Linked DNA regions of Caenorhabditis elegans. The protein of the gene in region 1 interacts with the protein of each later gene in a pairwise test. Each region holds a gene or a part of one and is shown on either strand. Other genes may lie near its edges. The genes, in order: mdf-2 and mdf-1.

Region 1 (7,570 bases):
ATAATTATAAATAATTTTAACAGATATTCGAAGGAGGAATATCAAAAAATTCAAAAAAAAAAAATCAAAAAATCACAATTTTTTTCAAAATTTTAAAGAAACTTCTTTTTTTGGAAGAAAATTTTGGAAGATGTAAGGAAGAACATTTAATTTTTTTGCGTTGATATTTTGAAACTTTTAAGTTGTTGGAGTTATTAGGAAATTTAAACAATTTTGGCAAAAATATCAAAAAATTTTGATTTCTCAAAAAAAAAAATTCCAAATTCCTTTTTTTCAACCAATTTTTTTTTGATTTTTCTGCATCTTTAAAGCATACTCAAAATAAAAAAAATATATATATAATTTGGCAGTTTTTAAAAATTTTCAAAAAAAAAAATCGCGAAAAAAAGTTACAAAAAAATTTTTTTTTTCCCTAAAAAACTTATCCTAAATTTCAAATTCTCTTCTTAAAGTTGATAATTATCGTGGCGGGACCCCCTGCTGACAACTTCTAAAGATACCCCTCCCGGCGGTCCCACCGGCCGCCAAAAAAGGCCTGCAAAACGGTCCAAGAGGGTCAAATTACATAAGGGAGAACAAAACAGGTGTATTTAGTATATGTATGTTTAAGGATATTATACGGCAGTTTAAATATGGAAGGGGGAGTTTTTAAATTTTTTGGAAAAAAAAATTTTTTTTTTGGAAATTTTGAGAAAAAATTTTTTTTTTGGAAATTTAATTTTTTTTTTTTCAAAAATCCCAGCTAACTTTTGATTCAATTTTTTTAATTCTTATATTTTCTAATGCCAATTTTTTCCGAAAATTGTTCATTTTATTCTTGAAAAGTTTTTTAAAAGAAAAGCTGAAAATTTTACAATAACGCAGATGAAAATTCCAAATTTTTTGGGGATATTTCGCCAAAAAAATCATTATGTGAATTTGTGGTGATGAAGATGATGACAATCGCTTTGAAAAAAAAAATAACAAAAAATACAAAATTCGGGGGAAAAAAATGAAAAATTAACAATAAAATTGGACATTTTAGTTTGAGCCAATTTTTGGCAGACAGAGAGAGAGAGAGTAAGAGTAAAGAGAGGTAGCAGAGAAAACAGACAAAAATTATTCGGGGGAAATTTAAAAATCCGCCTTGTACTGTACATTCGTGTTAACCGAGTGAACTGACGTCGAGAATGAGCGAAGTTGCACCTGAAAAAAAAATCAAATTTTTGAGGGGTCAAATTCGAATTTTCTGTGATTTTCTACCCCTAACCCTAAATTTTCAGAGCTCTAGCTCAAAATTACGTAAAATTCGGTGTGGTTACGGTAGCCGGTGTTTGCGTACTTTCGGGGCTACAGTAACCCGAAATGTTCAAAATTGCGCTATAAAGATGTCCATAGGTGCATTTTGTGGCAGAGAATTTAATTTTAAAAACGAAAAAAGTATCAATTTCGGAAAATTCAAATTTTTAAAAATTTCTGATTTTTCAAAATGAAAATTCAATATTAAATTCGAAATCTCCGCCGTTTTTCACCTCTTCATCTCAATTTTCAGAGCTCTAGCTCAAAATGGCGTAAAATCCGGTGTATTGGGTGACGGTAGGCGGTGTTTGCGTACTTTCGGGGCTACCGTAACCCGAAAATTCGAAATTACGCCAAAATCTCCCAAAAAAAAAGCTCTAGGGGAGGGAAAAAAGCGGAGAATTCGAATAAAAATTGTGACAATTCGAATTTTTAAGAGTTCCGCGCAGTTTTTCCAATGAAATTTCAATATTAAATTCGAAATCACCGAGTTCTAGCTGAAAATGGCGTAAAATCTGGTGCTTTGGATTACTGTAGTCGGTGTTTGCGTACTTTCGGGACTACAGTAACCCGAAAGCTTGAAATTTAAGCTAGAAGCTGGAATATTCTAGAAATTCGAATTTTTATATAAAATTTGTTGTGGAAAATGTGTAAAGTACGCGAAAATTCCAATTTTCTGGAAATTTTCAACAAAAAATTCGTTTTTTCCGAATTTTCAGTGATTTATCTCAAAATCGCGTTAAATCTGGTACTTTGGGTTACTGTAGTCGGTGTTTGCGTACTTTTGGGGTTACAGTAACCCCAAAATCTTTGAATTTCGCGGTACTTACAGTCTCCGAATTCTGAATCAAACAGGCTCCGCTTTCAGTCCAGTCCTCGGGTGCTTGAGTATCTTTTCCAGTGTAAATGAGCACATCGAACGAGACAGGCTCCTCGAGCAGTGGCAAGAATGACACAGATGCGGTGATTTGGCTGAAAATTTAGATTTTCACTACAACTTTTTCCTCACGAGGGACGAGGAAAAGTGGTTTCTAGGCCATGGCCGAGGGGCCGACAAGTTTCAGCGGCCATTTATCTTGCTTTGTTTTCCGCCTGTTTTCTTTCGTTTTTCATCGATTTTTTTCGTTTTTTCTTAATAAAACTGATAAATAAATATTTTTTGCAGATGCTAAAACAATTTCCAAGTAAAAATCATGTATTCAGTGGGCAAGCAGCGGTGAAAGTGGGCATTGTGTAATATGATGGATTACTGGAATACAAAACCTAAACTTTTTCTGAAAAATGATACACATGCTGCTTAGATGCTGAAACTACCTGATTTTCATAACGATACCACTGAAAAAGTTTTGAGGTTTTCAAAATTCAAATTTTTTAGTGAAAATCTCGACTTTTTCACCAAAAAAGTTGAATTTTGGAAACCTCAAAACTTTTTCAGCGGTCTCGTTATGAAAATCAGGTAGTCTCAGCACTTAAGCATCATATGTATCATGTTTCAGAAAAAGTTTAGGTTTTGTATTCCCGTTATCCATCATATTGCATTGACCACTTTCACCGCTGCTTGCCCACTGAATACATGATTTCTTTACTTGGAAATTGTTTCAGCATCTGCAAAAAATATTTATTTATCAGTTTTATTAAGAAAAAAACGGGAAAAAGCTGTGAAAAACGAAAGAAAACAGGCTCAAAACAAAGCAAGATAAATGGCCGCTGAAACTTGTCGGCCCCTCGGCCATGGCCTAGAAACCACTTTTCCTCGTCCCTCGTGAGGAAAAAGTTGCAGTGATTTTTTTTCAGGAAAAATCGATTTTTTCAGAGATTTGAATTTTGTCCGATGCAATTTCCTATATTATTTACATTTTTAACGCTGAATTTGTAACACTTTTCACCTCAAGACATTTATTTTAGCTTAAAATCGCGTAGTATCCGGTGTTTCTGGGCTACGGTAGTTGGTGTTTTCGTACTTTTGAGACTACAGTAACCCGAAAATCTTGAAAAAGAGAGCTAGGAGATTGGAAAAAACAGTTTTCGGCCTAAAATAAAGTGGGGAATTTGGATTTCGCCATAAAAACTAGTAGAGTAACCTTATAAAAATGACAATTTTCGGGGAAAAACTCATTTCTTATGCTCAAATTCAAACTTTTTCTCCATCTTAGCGCGAAATCGCGTAAAATCTAGTGTTTTGGGTTACTGTAGTCGGTGTTTGCGTATTTTTGACGCTACAATAACCCAAAAATTTCCTAGATTTAGCTAGAGCCTTAAAATTTATGTTTTAGGCCTAAAAATGGCAATAAATAGTAGATTTTCCCAAAAAATTTCCGAATCAGTTCAAAAAATTGAGTTTTCTGACTCTCGAAATTTTTTCTGAATTTTTCATCCTGAAATTCAGGTTCACCGTCATTTTCTGCTTCTGGGGGCTAAAATTTTCAGATTTCTAGCTCAAAATTGCGTAAAATCCGGTGTTTGCGCACTTCTGGGGCTACAGTAACCCAAAATTCATAAAAATTGGGTTAGAAGCCTAAAAACTGGGTGCTAAGGGTAGAAAATTGTTGGAGAAGACGAATTTCACATTGGATTGCACTAATTGCCGGCGATTTTTGGTCGAATTTCACTGGAAAACTTTTTTTTTTCCAACTTTTTGCGTCAATTCTCAAAACTTTTACGTTTTCCTCCATTTTTTTTGCGTATAATTTCCGTCTAAAAACCCATAATACAAATATAATTGAGGATCATCTCTTTCCTTCCTTCTTCCACCAATTAGTCAAATAAAACACGTCTGTCGCCTAGATATGGTATTCTCCCAACCAATAAGAGCACCATCACACCACCTGACGCCACAAATTTGTATTTTGGTTATTTCTAATCAAATTTCTCAAATTTTCGGGGGTTCTTTTCTTCTTTTTGTCCTTTTTGAAAGCCGTACCGAATCACATCGCTAATCTCCTGCCGAATCTTCTTCTCCTCCTTGACGCGGTGCGCGTTTTCTCTGCAAAAATTGGGAATTTAGGTCTAAAAATTTATGAAAATTACGAAATTTGACCTTAGAAAAGTTGAAAATTGGCCCTGAAACCCTGAAATTGCCCTTACAAAAAGAAACTTCCCATGCCGGGAATCGAAACCGGGCCGCGTGGGTGAAAACCACGAATCCTAACCACTAGACCACATAGGATCCAAAAACTGAGGGCGCGAGTGCATAGACATGCCGGTGGGGGCCAGGGATTTATCGATTTATCGATTTTTTTTTCGCTTTTTTTTTCAGTTTTTTGCAAATTAAGCATCTCCTTGACCTCTCTGCTTCCGGCTGAGCACACCTGTTATGCTTCTGAAGACTCTCCTCTTGGTATAATGTCTATTGCGTCATCATAGGGCGGTTGCCGGAGCACTTGAGAGTCAAGAGGTTTTTGTTGTTGAAAGGGATTATGAGACAATGAGAAATGTATACATATCACACCTTTTTGAGGGGGTTTGTGATGCAATTAGTGGGTTTCAGTGAGAATTTTGAAACAAAAAAATCCGAAAAAAATGCTGAAAATTAATCAAAACGTGCGAAAATTTGTAACTTCTATCGGTAAATTTCCAATTTTTAAAGAAATTCTCAAGAAAAAATCAATTTATTGCTCCGGAAAAGCTGAGAGTAACCTAAAAATTGAGACAATTCAGTTAAAAAACTTCAAAAACGCGCCAATAATTAGGAGATTTTAATCGCAAAACTTGGCCAATTTCAACAATTTCAACAGGAAAAATGACCATTCTGAAGATTTTTTCAGCCAAATTCCCCAGTTTTAGCGGAAAAAATTGAGCTTGACGCCGGATTTTGCAGCTTTGAGCCAGTTTTCAAACGATTTCGTACCCTTCCTCGGCCAAATTCTCTGTATGAATATCGAATTGCCATCTTTCCACGACTTCCTTCGTCTTCACCTCGGAAATCACCATCACCAACCGTTTCAGCTGTCTTTTCGCGAGCCAATCTGCAAACTTCAGATGATTTTAACGCTGAAATTCGAATTTCCCCCGCCGCCGCAAAAAAATTACATTCAACTTGCTGCAAAAGTGGATCCATGAACGCTTGGAGCTTCTTCTCATGAGCCACCCACAGTGTGAGCCCGTACTTCTTCTCACGCTTGAAACTGTCTGATGGATAAAGCGCACGTTGATAGAGAATGCTGTTAAGGCCGAAATCTGAAATAAAAAACGATAAAATCGCGAATTTTTGCAGGGGAAAACCGTACGGAAGAACTCTTTGACGAGTTGGGCAGATCCTTTGAGGGAAATCGCGTTTTGTGTCTTTACATCCGTCATTTCTGATGAATTCCCTGCAAAATAACGATAAAAACTGATTAAAAATCGAAGAAAAATGACCGAAAACGCGCCGCAAACAGTTTAAGATTCGAATTCTCCCGCCGAAACAATTGCACGAGAAACGCGCCAATAAACATCACGAAACGCGCCAGCAAGCGTCCAAGGCACATATCGATTTTTCTCGCGACTCGGAAAAGAAATTAATTAAAAATCTCGAAAATCATCGATTTTCATTGTTTCTTTCAGTTTTTTCATTGATTTTTTGGTAAAATAATTGATAAATAAGTTTTTTTTTTCAGAAATGAACCGCTTGATGGTTATTTCGGCTCGTCGGATGGCGTCGGCGGCTCCAAAAACGAGCACCGGAATCGAGCACGCAGAGAAGGCCAGACAGGTCGCTGGTATGGCTTTCTGAAACTCTAAACTAGATAATAATCCGTCATAATATTGTATTGAAAAAGTTTAAGCCAAAAAATTCCTTAAAAATAGCTGAAAAAGTTGAATTTTTGCGGAAATGGCACGAAAATTCGATGTTTCCCGTAAAATCACTGAAATATTTGATTTTTTGCATTAGAACTTGTGAATAGCTAAATTTTTAGTTACAATTTCATTGAAAAAAGCTAGTTTCTGCAAAAAATGTCGATTTTTCGCCATTTTTCTTGTTAAAATCGATTTTAGCCGAAAATATTCTGATTAAACATTAAAAATGAGCAGAATATCGATTTTTGTCAGAAAAAAAAACTATGAAAAGTCTAATTTTCTGGAAAAATGTGCATTTTTCTAGAAAAAAAATCGAATTTCAGACAAGTTTTTCCCAATTTCCATCCAATTTCCACGCAAAATCTCTCAATTTTCAGGCGGAAAACCCGATTGGTCACTGTACAAATGCGACGAATACCTGAAATTCGACAAATACTCGTACGCTCACGCCGAAATCACCATGAACAAGGATCGTGTCGTTCAGCCGTCCTACAAGAAGGCCGACGTTCTTCCGAAAGTTCGAGCTTAATCTTTTTTCGACATTTTCTGTGTGAAAAATAGAGTTTTCGGTGGATTTTATCATTTTTTTTGTGTAGATTTTTCGTATAAATATGAGTTTTTACATAGATTTTTTAATTTTATTGATTTCATGGCTGTTTCCATGCTTAATTATCTAGTAACAAGTCGTTGAAAAACGAAAAAAACACAACGATGCTCCGATGTTCCGCACGTGCATGTTGTTTATCATTGCTCAAAAAATGGCGGTTTTTCGAATTTTTTTTGTGAATTTTTGCTGTTTTTCCGCCTAAAAAAATAAATTTTAACACAATAATAAGCCGAAGCACAATTTTTCTTTAATGCCTGCTCGTTCCCACGGTGATTGCCGCCACAAGGGATTACCTAGCAGCGAGTTTCCATGGTGATGGGCGTCGCTAGCTTTTGTTCAGAGAAGCAGATGTCATATTCATTGAATTTTTAATTTTTTCAATCAAAATCGCATTATTTTCGAGAGATTCGAGGGAAAAATCGAAAAAATTGCAAAATTTTGATCGAAATTGTTGATTTTCATTATTTTTCGCAATTACTTCAATGAAAAATCACTTCAAAATGACCAAAAATGGTGTTTCGATGCAAATAATAAGGGTTTTTTTTTCAGAATAAGCTAGTGAAAAAAAAAAAATCGAATTTTCACTATTTTTCTCCTCGTTTCTTTGATTCTGCCATAAATACGATTGGAGAGAGTAAAATCTGAAATTTTTCCGAAAACCAGTTAAAATTCTGTTATTTTTCAACAAAAACCGTAAAAAAAATCATTAAAAACCTCGGAAAAAAAGTAATTTTTCGCTTTTTTTAAAACAATTTTTAACGATGCTCCGAAATCCCGCATGCGCGTGCTGTTTAGCATCACAAAAATTCGCGATTTTTTGAATTGTTCGATCCTGAAATTGCATTTTTTCTCGTAAATAATTAATTTTTCATGATTTTCAGGCAATTCCATGTCTGAAGAACTACATTC
Region 2 (5,019 bases), on another chromosome or scaffold:
GGGCCAGACGAGATGCTTCCGAAGCAATTCTCTCGAAGACATCGTTGACAAACGAATTCATGATCGACATAGCCTTGGATGACACACCGGTGTCTGGGTGAACCTGCAAATTATTTAATAATATTTTTGATTTGACAGAATAACTACTTAATATTATTTTGATTTCTATGATCCCCCAAGACTAATTTAAATGATTTTTAAATACCGGTATTATATCGTTGCAGTTCGTACTAAGTGGTACGTAGTTTTAACATACAACATGCTAATGGCTAAAACATTTTTTTATCATAACTTATTCGATTTGAATATATTCTCACCTGCTTTAAAACACGGTAGATGTAGACCGAGTAGGATTCCTTACGAGCATGCTTTCTTTTCTTTCCGTCTTTTGGCTTGCTGACGGTCTTAGCAGCCTTTTTGGCTCCTTTAGCTGATGGTTTTGGTGGGGCCATGATCGAATGAGACACGAAACGAAAATGCGAAACGAATCGATGTGTTTGGCGAGTGTTGTCTATGAGCGCTGCGAAGCGCTTTTATACTCGCCAGCGGTGGCCCCACCTCTCGCTGCCGCGGAACTAGACTCCGCCCACACCGAGAGAAATAGTTAAATAGAGAGGCGGGCGCGTGTGCGCATGCGTATTTTGCATCGATTTTCGTCGGCTTAGACCACTTTTCTGTTTCTCTTTCACCTCCAATTTGCTCATCTAGACTTCTAGTTCATTGTTATTCAACCTAATTTCAGCAAAGATGTCCGGACGTGGAAAGGGAGGAAAAGCTAAGACCGGTGGAAAGGCCAAGTCCCGTTCGTCGAGAGCTGGACTTCAATTCCCAGTTGGTCGTCTTCATCGTATTCTCCGTAAAGGAAACTACGCACAACGTGTTGGAGCAGGAGCACCGGTATGTAGAATTTTAGAGCTGCTGTGTTTTGTGCATTTCCTAGATTAAAAAATCGTTCAAACCTGAACTTGCTAGCATTTTCCAAATTATATCACTTTTGCTCTTGTACTTTTTAAAAACATAATGTTCCAGGTGTACCTCGCAGCAGTTCTGGAGTACCTCGCCGCCGAAGTTCTCGAGTTGGCTGGAAACGCTGCCCGTGACAACAAGAAAACCCGTATTGCACCAAGACATCTCCAACTCGCTGTCCGTAATGACGAGGAATTGAACAAACTGTTGGCTGGAGTCACCATCGCCCAAGGAGGAGTTCTTCCAAACATCCAAGCCGTGCTTCTCCCAAAGAAGACTGCAGGAGACAAAGAATAAGCAGTGTCACAGATGAATATTGCAACTAAAGATACTCCGCCCCGTTAATTTATATGTCATCTGAATGTATTGTTTACTCGGCTGAATTGTAAATGAAATAAATTCATATACTTTGCAGTTATCAGTAAATTATTTTTTAAAATGAAAATAAGAATTTGTTTTAAATACAATTTTTCCAGGTAAGAAACTTCCCAAAATTCGGATTTTTGAAAAAAAAACTATTCGCAAGATCATATTTTCCTATTTTTGCATGTTCTTGTGTCCGAACATGTTTCCGAATGACCAAATAATAATAAAAAATGAGGCTGAAGAATTGCTGGGAAAAGTGTGCGGCAGCATTGCATAATGCCGCGCCCTTGCAAGTGGGCGGGAAGACGTTATTTTTAAGATTTCTTCGCAGTTTGTTTGGTGACATTCGATAAACTGTTTTTGTGCGAATGGATTTGTTTGACTTCCCTTGATTGCATTAAACATATTATTAATCTCTATCTCAAAATTCGAATCGCTCACTGTAATACATTATGTAACTGATTTTTTTCAGACATGAATTACGATGAAGACATTGTCGATGAAGACGAATATGAAGAGTCGGAAGCTACAATGTTGTTCGCTGAAGAAATCAAAAAACAGTTCAAAAGAGAGTTTCCGTTGAAAGCAGAGACAGAAAAAAAGCTGAAGCAGGCAACATTTCGTCGACATGCGCCGGTGGAGGCCAGAAAAATCAATTTCGATATGACACTCTCACCTGGTAAATTAACTTAATCCATTTATTAAAAATGTTTAAAATATTTTATTTAGTGGCTCCAATCGAATTGGCAAGTGCAAAAAAAGAAAAAGAGTCGGCACAGCGTCAATTGGTAACACTCCGTGAAGATCACGAACGTATGAAACAAATGATGCAAACGAATCAAGCGAAGTTGGCTGAAAAAACCATTGATCTGGAGACGAATCGTGAGAAAATGTTGGAGCTGCAAGAGCAAGTCGAACTTCTGAAGCAAGAACGAGATGACACCATCGCAGAGTGTAATCGAAACGTTGATATTTGGACAGCATTCGGCAAAAAATACTACACTTGGTACTCAATGGCGAATACTCAGCTGGAATCTGTGAAATTGTACATAGACAACGACGGAAAGTTTGAAAACGACGAAGAAGTTACACGATTGAATGCAGTTCCAAGACAGATGTACAGGGCTCTTGAACAATTCGATTATGATGATGAAACAGTAGAAGAACTTGGTTCAGGAAGTCTGCTAGAATATGAAGGTGTTTCATTTGCTACCCGTAGACCACCATCTCCTGAAACGGAAAGAGAAATCGCTCGTGCTGATCAATCGGCTGCTAACTTTACTCTACCTCGTAAGTCCGGAATTTTCAAACTTTTGTTTGCAGGCAAATATATTCGTATTTTCAGAATCCAATTTCACACTTCTCGAGGATTCAAATAACACCATAATGCCAGAAGATCAAACAATGATGACTGATGGCTGCATTGCCAATCGATCACTTATTGATTACGAGAAAGATGAGAAAATTCAGCGATTACTACTGGAAAACAGTGTTCTCAAAGATCGTTTGAATGTCTCGAGTGGGCGTGCTGAAAGGTCGATGATTTTCGAAGAACGTAATCGTACTTTAGAGTTTGAGAAGAAAGCTCTCCATAAGCAGTTGGACAGCACATTTGTGAGTGAATAATTATTGTTAAACTAATTTCACGTTTAATTTATTTTAGAGTGAGATTGAAGCTATTCGGATTGGCCAAGCAGGGAACTTGTTCAATATAGACGAGAAAATTCCTTCGAGTTCAGACAATTCCGCTAAGCAACTGCAGCTCATTGACAGAATCACTCAGCTCATTACGAAGAACAATCAGCTCGAAAAAGATTTTGAAGCAGCTACTTCCAGAATGACGAAAGTTATGCGAGAAAGCACAGACTGTGCTCGTCGCAACGAACGACTTGAGGATGCTTTTTCGAGCGAGAGAGTCAGAAGCCAAGACCTTGAAAATGAGAAAAGCCGGCTCTCTGAACAGTTAGAGTTGAGCAACAATGAATTGGAGAAGGTCAAGAAACAGTTGGAAGAATCTCAATCTCAGCTCGATGAAGTTCTCAGCATGACTTTAACTGTCCCAGCTTCAGAACCGGCATCTTTACCTGCTCCAACCGATGCCGGAAATAGTACACAGATTTTCCATATGGCTTCTAATCCACTCCAAGATGCTCACAATGAATTCCAAGCGTCTGAAAGTAGGAAAAGAAAGTTGACAGATGCTCCAGCTGGTGATCAATGGAGAGAGCAAGAGTTTGCTGAATTGGAGAAGCGTCTTTACGACTGCGAAAGTGAGAAAAAAGTACTCGAAAGTAGTTACAATCTTCATAAGGAACTCTCGTCGAAGTTCCGGCAAGTTTGTATTGCTCTGACCGGTCTCCAAATCAAACTGAAAGATGCAGACGAAGGAATATGCACTGTACAAAGCGAATATGAAGGTGGTTCCGCTCAGCAGTTCGTGTTTAAGTATTTCTATGGAACTCCTCGCATCGATATGCTTGATGTCAGCTGTGAATCAACTACTGAAATGCTTCGAAAGTGGGAGCCACTTATGAAAAAGTTTGTTAATTTTCTGGTTACTTACTATTAGAAGTATAAATACTCCCCGTTGTTGTGAGGCATCTTCTTAAAATATGTTTTTTCAGGTACATTGGCGACCGAAATTCGATTCCGGCTTTCTTAGCAGCAATGACTCTTCAGCTGGAACAGGATCGAGATTTTGACGAGACGATGCATGAGAGAACACATACATTCAGTGTCTTACACGAGGACTAAATCATTGAGCTATCTAGATCTCAATTATTTTTCTTCAAAGGAGAAGCTGTTAAATACACTGTTACCTGAATATTTGATGTTTCATTCCATTTTATTTATTTATTTTTTAATCTAAAACGTGTAGTGATCAAAATTAATCACACAATGAACGTTATATTTTCTTTCCAATTCAATGTTTACTATGGTATATTGTTTCGTACAATCTAAAGTTTATCTGCTCGTATATAGGAGAAATACCATTATGAAAATAGGAAAATTGGTTTTTGAACATCCTGTATTTTTCTAAAACGAGTTTGAATGATACCGCAATTAAATGATATAAGAAAATATATTTTCAGATGACAGCGTCAAAAATTAGTGATGTCTCTTTTGTGACTGATTTTGTATCAAAATATCAGAAAGGAATGGAGATGTCTTACACATTGGATGGAAATTCACGTGTTAGTGAATTCAATCAAAAAATGAGCAGTGTATCCATTCTTCTATTTCATAGAGATTTAGAGCAATTTCTTCTAGTTCGTCAATTTCGACCAGGTTTCCAATTTTATTCTATTGAAATGTGAGCGTTAAGTTGTTTTTTAGCAATCTTCACCGCATCAATTTCAAATTCGCCGGAGAATCACGGTAAAGAATTTGATAAAATTGACTGGAGCAGCTATGATTCTGAAACTGGCTACACCATTGAACTTTGTGCTGGACTAATTGACAAGGAAGGATTATCTCCTAGAGAAATTGCATCAGAAGAAGTTGCTGAAGAATGTGGATATCGTGTGGATCCTGATGATCTAATTCATGTAATAACATTTGTTGTGGGTGCTCATCAATCTGGAAGTGCTCAACATTTATATTACGCGGAAATCGACGAATCCATGAAAATCAGCGAAGGAGGTGGAAATGTTCATGAGGGAGAAGTAATTACTAAAGTTTATTACC

What was found.
Region 2: the proteins of mdf-2 (region 1) and mdf-1 interact in a two-hybrid assay, tested with the Caenorhabditis elegans proteins (4 studies listed by BioGRID).

What each region holds. Positions count from the first base shown.
Region 1 is NC_003282.8:2,635,437-2,643,006, forward strand, and holds mdf-2 (Mitotic spindle assembly checkpoint protein MAD2A), read right to left. Parts: upstream 5,589-7,570; 5' UTR 5,575-5,588; coding exon 5,505-5,574; intron 5,455-5,504; coding exon 5,308-5,454; intron 5,244-5,307; coding exon 5,126-5,243; coding exon of another isoform or gene 5,110-5,125; exon of another isoform or gene 4,262-5,109; coding exon 4,199-4,261; intron 2,251-4,198; coding exon 2,109-2,250; intron 1,186-2,108; coding exon 1,114-1,185; 3' UTR 793-1,113; downstream 1-792. Other genes in the region: nduv-3 (NADH dehydrogenase [ubiquinone] flavoprotein 3, mitochondrial), read left to right, coding at 5,876-5,975, 6,432-6,583; Chaperone ric-8, read left to right, coding at 7,551-7,570.
Region 2 is NC_003283.11:9,541,012-9,546,030, reverse strand, and holds mdf-1 (uncharacterized protein), read left to right. Parts: upstream 1-1,804; 5' UTR 1,805-1,806; coding exon 1,807-2,011; intron 2,012-2,061; coding exon 2,062-2,622; intron 2,623-2,677; coding exon 2,678-2,946; intron 2,947-2,995; coding exon 2,996-3,870; intron 3,871-3,956; coding exon 3,957-4,086; 3' UTR 4,087-4,249; downstream 4,250-5,019. Other genes in the region: his-41 (putative histone H2B 3), read right to left, coding at 1-103, 318-452; his-35 (Histone H2A), read left to right, coding at 748-897, 1,030-1,263; C50F4.16 (Uridine diphosphate glucose pyrophosphatase NUDT14), read left to right, coding at 4,425-4,620, 4,669-5,019.